Nothobranchius furzeri: one gene and its partners. The protein of the gene in region 2 interacts with the protein of the main gene of each other region in a pairwise test. Links are inferred from orthologs where the notes say so. Each region holds a gene or a part of one and is shown on either strand. Other genes may lie near its edges.

Region 1 (3,887 bases), on a different chromosome or scaffold from region 2:
TTCCTTCCAACTTGTTTGAGGTATTGGGCTGCTTTCTGCTTATTCAATTTGCTCCTTGAAATGTCTTAATGTGGCCAGACTGTGCTTAAAAATTTGTTACAACCATTATATGGCATTTCAATGGTTTTATGCATGTTTGTTTTTATTGGTGTACAGCACTTTGTTTGTCCTTTTGGGCATGTGAAAGCACTTTATAAATAAAGTTGAATTTGAATTGGAATAAAAACCGGTTCATTTACAGGTGGGCTAGTGAGCAACTTTTAGAAATGATAAAAGGAACATAATCTGCAGTTTTAAAGATTTTAATAATTCTAAATTTCTCTTTCATTTGAAAAAAAAAAAAACAAAAGTCCCAAAACGTGTGCAAATTAAGCCAAACAAGGTCTGGATTTCCTGTATGAAATTTAGACTCCTAACCCTTTAAAAAGAATTTGCTGAAACTCTTGTGTTTAAATAAAAAATGTTTTTAATACATTGTTTTTCATCACCTGGTCATAAACTTTGATTGGGATTCACTTTTGTGTTTTCCTGTTACCTGTGCAGGTGTACTACAGTGGGAGGAGTCAGTGGGAGGAAATGTCGCCCATGCCCAGAGCACTCACTGAGTTCCACTGTCAGCTCATCAGCTTCAACAGATACAGAGACCCGTGGGGTGACACGGAGGGATAGACAAAACAGAATGCTGAAGCGGCACAAGTCTTCACTGACTTGCCGCGGTGGAGAGCTAACGCTAACAATCACAGCTCTAACAACATGCCTGCTTTCAGCTATCCTCCAAATAGCTCCTTATCTACACTTTATTTTAAATTTCAAATAAGTATAACTTGGAAGAAAAAAACAAAGCGTATTTGTGAAACTCCTGGTCTCATGTTGTGCTTTTGTGCCAATCTAAATGTCCCCTCCTATGGAGGAACCCTAAAATATTTTTGTCTTGTTATAATTCAGGTGGGAAATGTGCTCTTAGATGTAATGTGATGTGTAAAACTGTCAGCTGTCCTACAGCTAACATATAAAAGGATATTATTTTGTTTGAAATTGTGAAAAATCACATCAATCTTCAGCGTGTTCTCCCAATATGCACCATCTACATCTTATCTTTTAATCGGATTAAACTAGACGTGTCAGCTCATTCTGTTACATCGCCACTGGAGCCTTGTGGTGGTTAGTAAAACTCTGCTGTAAGTCAGAAAATCACACAAATAGAAGTTTTTATGGACAAAAAAGTGAAATAAAATAAAATATTTAACTGCATCCTGGTTTATGAGTAGATGCAGTATTTTTGTAACATTCACACAAACAGAAGGATCCACAGTTGCATGTATCTAAAGCTACATAAAAGACACTATCATTCAAGTGTTGCTTTGCCTGCATTTTACACAGATAAAGTCTCAAAAACTCTTTTATTTTTTATTTTATTTACACTCCAGACTTTTCCTTCCCATGGGCTCATGGCCACACATTCAAAAACCTTCTCCTAATAAAAATATAACTCCAAGACAAGCTGTCTTGGCTTTTAGGTAGTGTTTGATGTCTAAGGAAAGCTCCAGCTCTGGATCAAACCAAGAAAAACAGAAATGTAAACTCTGCATTGATACAACAATCAGCCAGCACCAAAGTCTCATTCGCTGGCTGCTCTTCATTCCTACATCTCTCCTGCTCCACGCCTCAGTCCTGGTATGTTTTCACCAGCAGCCACATGAGCAGCACCGTGATTAAAACGATCATGAAGTTGAGGAACAACTCCTGGGTCGAGCGGTCCATGGTGAATGAGAGGGAATGGGTGGCACTGGCGAAGTGGAGATGTGCGGCTCTGGTTTTGGACACTTTTCTAAAACTAGACAAAAAAAAAAAAAAAAGAACAGGAACAGTAAAATGTTTTGTTAGAAAGAAGATGGAAACTGTTAATGTACCCTAACACGAGCTGGAGAATATGAGGAGATCAAACTCCTGGACTCTTACCTTAACAATATGTGCAAGGGTGTCCCCCCAAGCAGGAAAAGAGGAGATCTTTACTCTTTGCTTCACAGAAGCCTCTCGTCTTCCCACTGGAAGCTTCTTCTCTCTGCTGGTTCTTCCTATCTCCTCACTCTTGTCCAGTTTTCTGCTTTTGTCAGAGGCAGGGCCCCTCCCCTCCTTCACATTGGACTGCCCAAGGCTCACGTACACACAGACTGATGTCACACTCCAACTAAACAACCATCGGAGTCTGTTATTTACCACAGTGTCATCCGCTGGAGTATTTTCCATCCACAACAGGTCTCCCTTTCCTCCCATAACAACAGAGAAGGGTTATTTTTACAACCTTGTTGCAGATACTTGGTGGATTACAGTCGTTCCAAACACAATATACTGATGGGTGTAGGAAACTCTAACTATCCCTCAGAATCAGGGAGGGGGCTATGCCCTGAGGACAGAATAATGGAGCAGCTACTCCAAAATAAAACATGCATCATCATTATCGATGTTAGAAACAGATGAAAATGGTTAATTCAGAGCAAATTTTTGCGAGCAAGAAAAATGTTTTAGTTGTCGGGAGGAAAAAGGAAAAGCTTTAAAACCCAAGATGGAGTGAGATTTATTAAAAACTTTAATCAAACTTGTGTCATCCTCCTGAATAAAACTGCATAACGATAACGAGTCTTTTGCACAAAAGGTGTTTTGGATCATATCACAAAATTTGCAGCCAAAATGGTGAAATTCCCTCATGTAATATTTTTGGAATCAAACTGAAAAGTTGTTTTGTTAATGAATTAATAAACTAAGTTTTTATTTTTTTTTACTAGAATTGAATAGTTTTCTCCCCCTACCATACGCGGATCAGGACTTTTTGCTGTATAAGTTCAAAGAAAACAGCTTTGACAGCTCCCAACAGCATACCCCTCAGCTCCTCTCACACTTGGCAGCTGCTAAGAACGGTGTTATCTCTGAACGAGTGTAAAGCCCTCGCGACATGCACACCTTCTCCTGCACTCAGAGGGAGCATGGCAGGACAAAGCATATGTACAGCTCCCTTGAACTTTTCCATCAAGGAATTCCAGGGTCATTCCCAAAGGATTTAAGGGATCAAAGTGGTTGCAATGCTATCTGGCTGTGGTGCCAGCCTCAGACCAATGGCTGCTGGACTCTGGGGTTCCCACTGTTGTTGTATATGTGGTGCCAAGGTTACTGAGTAACGCAAAGAAGGATGTGATTGTAGAGCGGACCATGTCTCACCCACGGCAGCTGTGGGTGTATTTAGGATGGACGTGCTCTGGCAGGGTTACCAACTAATTCAGCAGAGAGACACTGGGTGTCAACAAGGCCTCAGAGACACCATTCCAGTATCCGCGGGACGCAAAACGTACATGTGCTTGTGTAATGAACCACGGTATATCATGAAGTGACAGCTAGCGGATTGAAAGTTTCCACAAGGGAAGGAGAAAACATGACCTAAAAACAGAGGCCTAATTAAAACAGAACTATTGCACATTGGTCTAGTAATGCCATTATTTTGTTAACAGCCAGGATTCGTAGAGCTCATTCTACTGAAACAGCTCTTCTTAGGGTCTCTAATGAACTTCTGACTCACAGTGATGCAGGGGACTGTTCTGTTCTGGTCCTGCTGGACCTGACTGCAGCCTTTGACACTGTTGACCATCACCTGCTACTGGAGAGGCCGAGAGACTGGGTAGGCCGATCAGGAACTGCTCTGGGGTAGTTCCCCTATTGTCTGCCTGAGTGTTCCTTCTCTGTGGCCGTCTCCAAGTTTCAGTCCTCTACCACCTCCATCACCCATGGTGTCCCACAAGGTTCTGTGCTGGGGCCTCTGCGTTTCCTCCTCTATCTGATTCCTGGTCAAGTAGCATGTGACACACATGGGTGAAGATCAGCTTTAGACCCGTGATGTT
Region 2 (5,205 bases):
GACCACTACTGGAGATCCTTCCTGCCAACAGCCATTGTGATGTACAATAACTCTTTGACGACTTGATTATTATTATTATTCTGAGCTACTACAGCAATCAATTTCCCTCTGGGATTAATAAAGTATTTTTGAATTGAATTGAAGTAAAAGTAAATGTACAGATTTTAAAAACAACTTGAAAAGTATAAATAAACAAAAAAAACTACTCAATTACAGTAACGTGAGTAAATGTAATTCGTTACTTTCCACCTCTGGTGGCTTCGGTTGAGGTATTATTTCAGCCTTTCCAATGTTAATCAGCTGTAAACCAGCTTGTTGCCATGGTTACGCATCATAACAAATGCTCAAAAAGTGAAAAAAGCAAAACAATTGCAGAAAAAAATCCTCCAAGCTTCACAGCACCAGAAACAGAAAAGTAAAATGTCAAAAAAAAAAAACGTTTTTCTTGAGAAACTTTGAAGAAAAAATGTCCAAGAAAAGACAAAACTTACATATCGTCAACAGAGCTACTCCAACATGCAGCCACCCAGAGCAGATCAGTTCCGAAAAGTTCAGTCATCATGCCGCTGGGTTGATCCCCAAGGCCGCCTACCTAGGGCCTATCATCAGGTGTCAGGTAACACCAGGGCTGACTCTACCGAATTTGGTACCCCAGGCTTGATCCTTCGCGCTCCCCGTCCTTGCCACATGCACGCACGCACACACTGCACCCCCCACAAACACATACACACACAGACTCGCAATGATCATACATTTTAAACTCTCATTTAAATTAGACTTTCATTGAAATCACTTTTAGCTTCTTCTACTGCTTTAATAAACTCCCTTTTCTCTTCCTGCAGATTCTCTCTGAGAAGTTGAATATTTAATTCCTCTTTGAGCAGAAATTGTCTATCTAATCTAATGCTGTAATTCTGTCTTTTTCTGCTCAAACTCTGATTTCTGGTTCTCCAGATGAATGTTTTCAGCTTTTAAACATTTCTTCACATCATTTAGAGTCTGTCGTTTCTCCGCTATGTCCTGTTCAAAATTTTCTTTAGAGTTTAAAAACTAATTTCTGGTTTTCCAGGTGAATGTGTCATGTTCTGTGTCCCCTTGGTCCCCAGCCCCCTCCTGTTCTCCCTCAGGTTCTCCTCATGTGTCTTCTTGTGTTCCCCAGCTCCCTCTAGGCTTTCCTCATGTTTTCCTCCTCCCTTGTAATTCCCATTTGTTTGCATTAGTCCTCCTCACCCCTGTAGTTAATCGAGCAGCCTATTTGCCTGCACTTTTGAAGCTGACGGGGGTCAGCTTCACAGAGCTCCCACAGCTGAGGAGGGAAAGAGGAGGTAAACAGCGAGTGGATCACAAGGACTGAACTGATGTTTTTGAGCAAAACTGCGGTAAAAATGGCTGTTTGTCCTCATTATCAAGTGTTTGTATTTGGGTTTGTGGTTAAATTATGAAAATGTTTGAAGTGGATGCTCGGGGAATGTCTGAATATTAGTGAGTTTAAGAAACAGTGCATTTTTTTTCATGGTCAGTAGGTGAATATTGTTTATTTAATAATTTTTTATAGGTTAGATATTGTTGTGAAGCTCTTGGCTATGATTGTATGATATGTGAAGAGTATTGTTGAGATTGATAGTATTCGATTATGATTGGAAGCCCAATTAGTAAATGACATTAACTTAAAAGGAAGGGGTGGGTCATGTTTTACTTCCATCTTCTCCTTTTCAGACATGGAAATTTATTATTTTATTCAAAGTTATGATTTCTCCATTTTATTATTTTTTTAGTTGCATCTTTCAATTATGTGTGAAAATGTTTGCTTATTTTGTCCTTTTTACACGTTTGAAAGCTTTAAACTAAACTAAACGAAACTAAAGATTTTTCTGCGTAATTAAGGAATTTATTGAACATCCATCCTGCTCAGAATGGAAGACTGAAACATTTCCCCACTGAGGGACAATAATAATGCTCAGTTTCAATAAACGCTGTTTGCTTTTCAGAGGCTTTCTGATCACCTGGGAGGATTTTCTGTCGGCAGGCATTTAACCAATACTGGCCCTTTAAGCAGGCTTTCTTATTTACCTGAGAGACCACACCTGACGTTGACTTCCGCAAAATTTCACAACAGAATTTCCAGGTGGCAGAAGTTAGAGGTGAGAACTCAGGTCCAGGAAAAAAAACAAAACAAGAACCTTAAATAAAACTGGAGAAAGAAGGACCGAGGACCAGAACCAGGTACTGGACCCAGATGTGTTTGTTTGTGACGCTTTCCATGATGTTAGCATGTTAGCTCGTCTCTGGTCAACAGGTGATTCCAGGTGATCGCGTGTCCCCAATGACGTCAGATTGTAAACACTGTCTTAAAATTCTTTAAAAGAATCAAGATAGATGTTAAAAAAAGCAACAACCCAGGAAGCCATGATGTCTTTGACAGTGCCTCTGGTATCTTTATCGAAAACAAAATAAAACTTGATTAGGGCGGTCAGTCAAGAAAATATTAGTATTTATTCACGATTAATCGCGGGAGTGTTTAACCAATTCCAACATGGTACTCATAAATTCAGCATAATGTGACATATTGATGGCTTCTGATGCAGGAGCAGACAAATACCTCATATGTAAATGTAGGCCTATTCAAAACAACAATAAACAGCCTATGTTGCAGCTAAAGTTCATGGAGCTGAAGTTTCTTTCTATTTCTAATTTCCATTTAGAAAAATGGCTAAAGAACCATTTCAACTGATTCTAGCAGAATGTGTCCAGATTTTAGTTTGTGGTTGGTGAAACCATCCTTTATTAGAGCAGACAGCTCAAAACCACAGATTATTCTGAGACTGTGTACTGGGTTGACTAACCCTAATCCAGTTTGTGATTTATGAAAGTTTAATATAGAGCATTTCCAGCACTTCTTTTGCATCTGGAATTTATTGAAACAGGTCCTGCTCAAAAAGTGCAAAAGTCTATATATATATATATATATATATATATATATATATATATATATATATATATTTTTTTTTTTATCTTGCAAAGCAAGACAAGAAAGCAGTGAAGAGCTTGTCAAGTTCATAGAGATGCAGGGGAAACTCTTAATTGTGAATAATTGTCCCAGGCCTTACCTATACGTTACTCAAAAGCTTTAGGTGAAATCCAAACAGGCAGGTTGTGGCCCCACGTACAGTGAGGAGGTGGACTGATGAGTGTGAGGAGGTTCTCAAGGACTGCTTCAACACCACGGTGTGGACAGATCTCTGTGATCCACATGGGGAAGACATTAATGCCATCACAGATTGCATCACGGACTACATAAACTTCTGTTTTGAGAACACCGTTCCCTCCAGGACGGTGTGGTGCTCCGCGAACACCAAACCATGGATCACCCCCAACATCAAAACTCTCTTAAAGGAGAAAAAGAGAGCCTTCAAATCTGGGGACAAGGAGTAGCTGAGAACCGTTCAGAAGGAGCTGAGGAGGAAGATTAGGGAGGCCAGCTACAATAGGAAAATGGAGAAGCAAAACACCCCACTCACAGGGGGAGGGGGACCTGAAGTGGCCCAACTACCTAAACCTGTATTTCAATAGGTTTGACCAAGCACCCACCCCTTCCCCCACACAGCCTCATTCAAATAACTCGACACCTGGAAGACCCCCTACAACTACAGCCCTTCACACCTCTGGCTCCTCCATTCGCACCATCGTGCATCCCCCAGGACTCGGCCCCCTCCCCAGTACAGAGCCCCACTGCCCACTCCTCTCCTTTACAACAGGCCAGGTGACGAGAGAGCAGATGCAGATCAAAGCGAAAAAAGCTGCTGGTCCTGACAATATTAGCTCCAGTCTCCTTAAATCCTGCGCAGATGAACTGAGTGGAGTTATAGAGCATGTCTTCAACCTGAGCCTCAAGCTGAGGGTGGTACCTCAGCTCTGGAAGACCTCCTGTGTGGTTCCAGTGCCGAAGACACGAAAAGCTAATGAGCTCAGTAGCTACCGGCCGGTGGCTCTCACATCCCACCTGATGAAGACACTGGAGAGACTGATCCTGGGACACCTCCGGTCTACTGTGGGACCTTCGACGTATCCATTGCAGTTTGCTTACCGACCAGTGGTTGGAGTAGAAGGTCTCACAACACAGACAGGAAGGAAGGGCCAGAGCAGGCTCCACCTCCTGAGGAGACTACGGTCTTTTGGGGTGATGGGGACACTCCTGAAGCCCTTCTACGACTCTGTGGTGGCATCAGCAATCCTGTATGGTGTGGTGTATTGGAGCAGCAGCATCACAGAGAGGGAGAGAAAGAAGCTGGACAGGCTGATAAAGAAGTCCAGGTCTGTCCTGGGCTGTCCTCTGGACTCAGTACGAGAGGTGGGGGACAAGAGGGTACAGGCAAAACTCAGATCCATCCTGGACCATGAGTCACACCCCCTGCAGGATACCCTGTCTGCTCTGGAGAGCAGTTTCAGCAACAGACTGATCCACCCTCGCTGTACGAAGGAGAGATACCACAGATCTTTCCTCCCTGCTGCTGTTAGACTCCATAATAGTCACTGCTAATAGAAGCCAAACATCTGTAACCTTCCACTGCAAATATCATCTTTTCAAAACGTGCAATATAACTACTACTCTCATTAGCATGTGCAATAATTATCTTAACTTACTATTACTATTGTAGAGAAGATGTTCTTATATTTAATTAGAAACCATAGAATGTAAAATATCATAAAATATGAAACATCACCTTAATGGATCTTTGAGTACATTTAACCATAAGATCGGATCTTTTTATTGCAGGGATTGAGCAACACTTCGTATCAACTCCAAGAAATAGAGTCGGGTTTAAAAAGTTAAAAGATTTATTTCTAAACAATTTAAACAAGACTAACTTTAAACACTATGTGATGATGAACTAAGGTGGAGTAAGACTGAGGTTGGTCTGTGTGTGAAATATGTTCAGAACCAGCAAATCCAGAGAAACGATTAGTTCTGATGGGAGTGAAATGGTGTTTCGCTCTAAGCTTTGGTTTGGAGATTATAACACACATTGAGACGCCATCTGTCAGTCTACGTACCCCAATGGAAGTCCCCGTTTAGATCTGGAATGTCGGGGGTCCAGCTTGGACCCTCTTGGAACCGACGACTGTAGATATGCAGCGGTTGCTGACCCTTCCAGTCTTGAGTTACTCCCAGGTCACAACAGTTTATTGGCATCAGCAAGACCCTGA
Region 3 (4,615 bases), on a different chromosome or scaffold from region 2:
GGAGCTGAGGGATGAGCGGTCGATTTCAGTCTGAAGATTGCTCTCAGCTGGTTTTTAACAGCTGTAATGTCTTCCTGCAGACAACACTCAGCTCTTGCCAATCAAAGCTATCACGCAAAAAAGAGAAAAAGCTCTGCTGTGAGATATGCTACACTGACCCAATTCATCCTAAAATGACAAACTGAAAAAAAAAACAGACGCAAGTTAATTAACAAAAAATGTTAACAAAATTAGAGCTATTTTAAAATGTCATGTTCTGTAGATTTAAACTAAGTATTTTACTTCTCGTGTCTGAATAAAAGCCTTAATAACAGTTATTAACATAACACAAGTTACTCAGTCTGAGCATTTCCTGCCTGAGAGCATTCTACTTCATGGTATGACGACTAAATCATATATGTGATGGCATGAAAGTGCAAGCTTCAGCAAATGTATTCAGTGTAAAATTCACTTTTTTGAACTTTATTTCACAAAAGAAGCTGAAGATGATTTAATGTGTCCAAAATCTTTCTGTCATAAATGTTTGAGGAGAAATTTTTGGACCTTAAGACTTTTTCTTTTTCTTTTTGACCATTTTATTTTGTATAATGCTGTGGTTTTGTGAACTGTACTCCATTACATCTTGCAGAATATTGTAGCTGAGTGCAACTTTTCTAATGTTTTTGGTTCCAGTCAACTAAAAATCAGGCATGCCGCCCTTGATTGCATTTTTCTTTTTCATATGTAATTATAGTTATAACAGATCGTTTCTGCCCTAAAAATGTGGCAGTCTAAGCAACTAACTAACAATTCACAATTTCACCATCTGTCTTTTTAAACATGTTCCTCCAATGACATCTGTTGTGGTTCAGAAGTCTTGTCCATACTTTTCCTGTCATGCTTGTGGACATCTGTAATGGGAGAGAATGACCTTTTGTCCAGCAGACGGCTCAGGAGGAGAGCCGGGCGAAGGACAGCTAGGAGACTGATTTTGTTTAACTTTGAGCAAAGCACAGGTGGCCAGCGAGGCAGCAGCATATTGCCCATGGCTTCTTCGTCTTCCTCTTCCTCTCTGCATTGACAGGGCAGGTGATTTCTGAAGCTCCAGGGGAGCTGGCAAACAGGTGAGCCAGAGGCAGACAGATGTTTTGACAGAAGGAGGAAGGATGTGAGATGCTGCATCACAATGTGACACAAGGAGATGAAAATAATGACAAAGATGTTTCATTTTTTTTTTGGACTTTTTTTTTTTTACCATTTTGATTTAAACAAACCCGCGCAGTCTGATATGACATATTGTTATTAAAAAGCAAGAACATTCTTACAAGTTTAGTAATCAGTGGCAACCCCAAGAAGTGCTCAGGGGGACAATGGCCACCTCACTGCCCCCTCCAGGGAAGACAAGCCCGCTAGCCCCATAATAAATGTAATTCATGTTCCTCAATACTCATACATTCAGTTTATTAACATAAATGTTAAAGCAAGTACACAACTTTCTTTTTTATTTTTTCTGAAATAAATTTGTGGAATTTTGTCTTTTTTCTGAAGCGTTTAAATTTCTCAAATTTGAGGTCAATGATTTAGGGAGATTTGGTAAATGTGTTGGATGCATAGGCCTTCAGCGCACAGCAGCAGACTAAACTTTACCCAGAGTTACCACAGGGACAAATGTGGTGTGCCACCCCAAGATATTCACTGGCCCCCCATGAAATTCTTTGGTGGCACCACTGTTAGAATAGCCTCACACTTTCACAAAAATGCCTTTTTTGTCATTATCATCATCCTTGTTCCTCATATTTCAAACACTTTGCGAAAAAGGGACCCACATTGTTTTAATTACAGAATGAAATTATTTATTTAAAGAAGGAAGAATGGATTTGGTCATTTTTACAATAAATCATTATTGAATGGCAAAAATACATATTCCACCTTTATTAGAGGTGCAGAAGGGCGCAGAAAGCAGCCAGTCAACCACATTCCCCACCAGCTGCTGCTTAACAAACGATGCAACTATTTTAAATGACGCGTCTGAATAAACGCGCTTTACCTCCTGCAGACCAAAGGATGTCTTTGTTTAAAAAGGCCACGAAAGCATAAGTGAACACTTCTAGCCCCAGTCAGGGTCCATCCACCTTTAAGTGCTTTTTATTTTTATAAAATGTCTAAACGTGAAAGCAGGGCTTCCTTGGTTGTTGATCACCGTGCGCTCTTCATCTGTACCGAAAATAAGCGTCCCCATCCCTCAGTAGGCTCCAACAATCACTGTCTCCGTTTCTTTTGAGGGTCTCCTGTCCATAACCAAAAAGTTGATCATCCCCTCTGACTTTATGAGCAGGTTGCAGCCCAAGAAGAAGATGCCAAACACCACCGTGAGGGACAGGACGCACATGACGGCGATCTGGACCACCCTCATGATGAAGAGGCTCCTCTCATCCGGTGCCGCGGCAACAAAGCCGTTGTCAGTCACCACGGAGGAGAAGTTGCAGCAGAAAAACTCTTCCGTCTTGTTAAACAGTCCACTCTCTGTCTGGTTCAACCCGGTGGTGTTCATCTCTACTTTTGCAAAAGAGAGAAAAATAAATCAAACTTTGAGCGCGCGGGGCCCAAAAAGCAGAGATGAGAGAGGTTGGATTATCATCAAGTGATGGTGAGGAGTTGAAGAAGTTCCTCTGGATCAAACAGAGCTCTCCCGGAGTCGGAAAAGACGCTTTGGCATCGCATCACTGGGGATTTCATGCGCTGCGCTGCCAGTTTCAGATCCAAATGAATGCACCGACCTCGCGGTTATATACCCAGACCGCCTCTGTTCAGGAGGAAACAGTAAGAGCGCCACCACACGGTAAGACCGCACATTGCAACTTCTGTGCAACGCATTGACATTTTGTGCAAAGCCTGTTTTGTAAAGTATTTGCAGCCTGCTGTGAATCAGCACGTGCACTCACACAGGAATCCATACTGACTCATCATTTCTACGGGGTCCCCGTTGGTCCTGCAGACAACTCAGCATGCATTTGCTTTCAGTTTGGTCTTTAAATTTATCTAGACAATGAGAAATAAAGGTATAAGTACCAAAGCGTCATGAAAAATCAATTTAATCATCAATAAATTGTAAAAACAAAACAAAACTACATTGTTGTGCACTCTCATAAGATTTTAAAATTTGATAAGCAAAATGTTTGTACTTGTGGGGACTCTGGTGTGACATATTTAAATTATTGCTGCAAAGAATAAACGTTAGAAGTAAAAAATAAAACAACGTTTAAAAACAGAAAAACAAGAAAACAGAAAAATAGTCAAACAATTACTGAAAATATAATAATTAATAAAAAATATAAAATTTGTTAATTATTTTTCTAGTGAATATTCTTAATCTGATATTTTTTATTTTGCAGTATATTTTGCCATTTTGCATTTAACAAAATATTTCAGATTTATTAAACTTACAGCCTTTTGCAGCTGTTCAAGTTCAAACAGAGTAATAAAAGTGTTACAGTAACAAACAGTCTTGAGCTGAGGGCTGTTCCACACCGACGCATGAGAGTTATATCTGCTGTTCTCATGTTTGGCAGCAGATGGCAGCATTGTTCAACTTGAGCCAGAATCAGAGAGGTGAGGTAAAAAAAAAATGAAGTCAGACCCCAATTCCATTTTTGGTTCTTTTTAAAACACAGGAAAGGTTTCTCTTTCAAAACACCCTCACAGTGTCAGCTCTGAGGGTGTTTTGCAGTTGGCAAACAAAACTGTCAGCAAGGTAAAGAGAAACTTGTGTTTTCAAAAGAACCAAAAATGGAATTTGAAGTCAAACACAGAAAGAAAGTACCAAAGATGAAGTCAGCGTCATTTTAACCGGGGACGCCGGGGACATGCAAAAGACCGCTTCAGTGGGAGGAAATCAACCAACATCCTTGAGTTTATCCGTCAAAATAAACAGTCAAATGGAAATATCTGTAACCTGCCATTTAACTGTTTTGCCTTCTTGTGAAGATTGTTGCAACGAGAAACAATTAAACTTGATTAACCCCAGAGCCACGCGCACTGCGCTGTAGTCCGTGACTGTAAATGAGGGGGAAACGATTTAATGGGATCCTTTTCTTTTCAACATGGTTTAATGTAAAGTTTCATTCAGTACAAACTTTAGTTACACCAATCTAACGAGACAGAGCCTGGATTTGTATTCTGAACAGTTTATAACATGTTTAAAACGGAGACGTGCGTGACGCGTCTAAAATTCGTACCTGCTCCGCTATTATGGAAATTAAACTAACAGGATGAATAACATGAAATTATTTTAGGCACAGACAACATCCCCCACACTTTTGAAAAGCTTGCAACGCGCCTGGTCGCTCGTGTACGTCAAAGTTATCTTTCATAAAAAGATAATCAATAAAACGATTAAATAAAGTGGATCCAGAAGCTGTAGCCAGTCTCTGCCTTCAATATTCACCCTATTGGTGGTTTTACTGAGCAGGTGCCACTTTTGTCATACGTTTCTTTTTAAAACATGTTTAGACTGTTCAGAATACAAATCCAGGCTCTGTCACGTTTGATTGTTGTAATTAAACTTTGTAGGTGGGGAAGGTCGGAAAGCAGCTCAGAAGCGCATGATTACGCACAAGCGTGACGCGTCAACCCGGTC

Evidence for each region.
Region 1: the proteins of tmem79b (region 2) and sarcolipin interact in binary tests that used the Homo sapiens proteins (3 or more experiments, as listed by UniProt). The two-hybrid records come from large-scale screens. The link is inferred for Nothobranchius furzeri from reciprocal best matches to the Homo sapiens genes TMEM79 and SLN.
Region 3: the proteins of tmem79b (region 2) and rprma interact in binary tests that used the Homo sapiens proteins (3 or more experiments, as listed by UniProt). The two-hybrid records come from large-scale screens. The link is inferred for Nothobranchius furzeri from reciprocal best matches to the Homo sapiens genes TMEM79 and RPRM.

What each region holds. Positions count from the first base shown.
Region 1 is NC_091753.1:35,536,231-35,540,117, reverse strand, and holds sarcolipin, read right to left. Parts: upstream 2,198-3,887; 5' UTR 1,960-2,197; intron 1,835-1,959; 5' UTR 1,762-1,834; coding exon 1,666-1,761; 3' UTR 1,352-1,665; downstream 1-1,351. Other genes in the region: kbtbd3 (kelch repeat and BTB domain-containing protein 3), read left to right, coding at 544-669. UniProt on the Homo sapiens protein: Reversibly inhibits the activity of ATP2A1/SERCA1 and ATP2A2/SERCA2 in sarcoplasmic reticulum by decreasing the apparent affinity of the ATPase for Ca(2+). Also inhibits the activity of ATP2A3/SERCA3.
Region 2 is NC_091745.1:66,341,054-66,346,258, forward strand, and holds the start of tmem79b (transmembrane protein 79), read left to right. Parts: upstream 1-1,974; 5' UTR 1,975-2,141; intron 2,142-5,205.
Region 3 is NC_091754.1:18,399,565-18,404,179, forward strand, and holds rprma (protein reprimo A), read right to left. Parts: upstream 2,787-4,615; 5' UTR 2,531-2,786; coding exon 2,222-2,530; 3' UTR 1,352-2,221; downstream 1-1,351. UniProt on the Homo sapiens protein: May be involved in the regulation of p53-dependent G2 arrest of the cell cycle. Seems to induce cell cycle arrest by inhibiting CDK1 activity and nuclear translocation of the CDC2 cyclin B1 complex.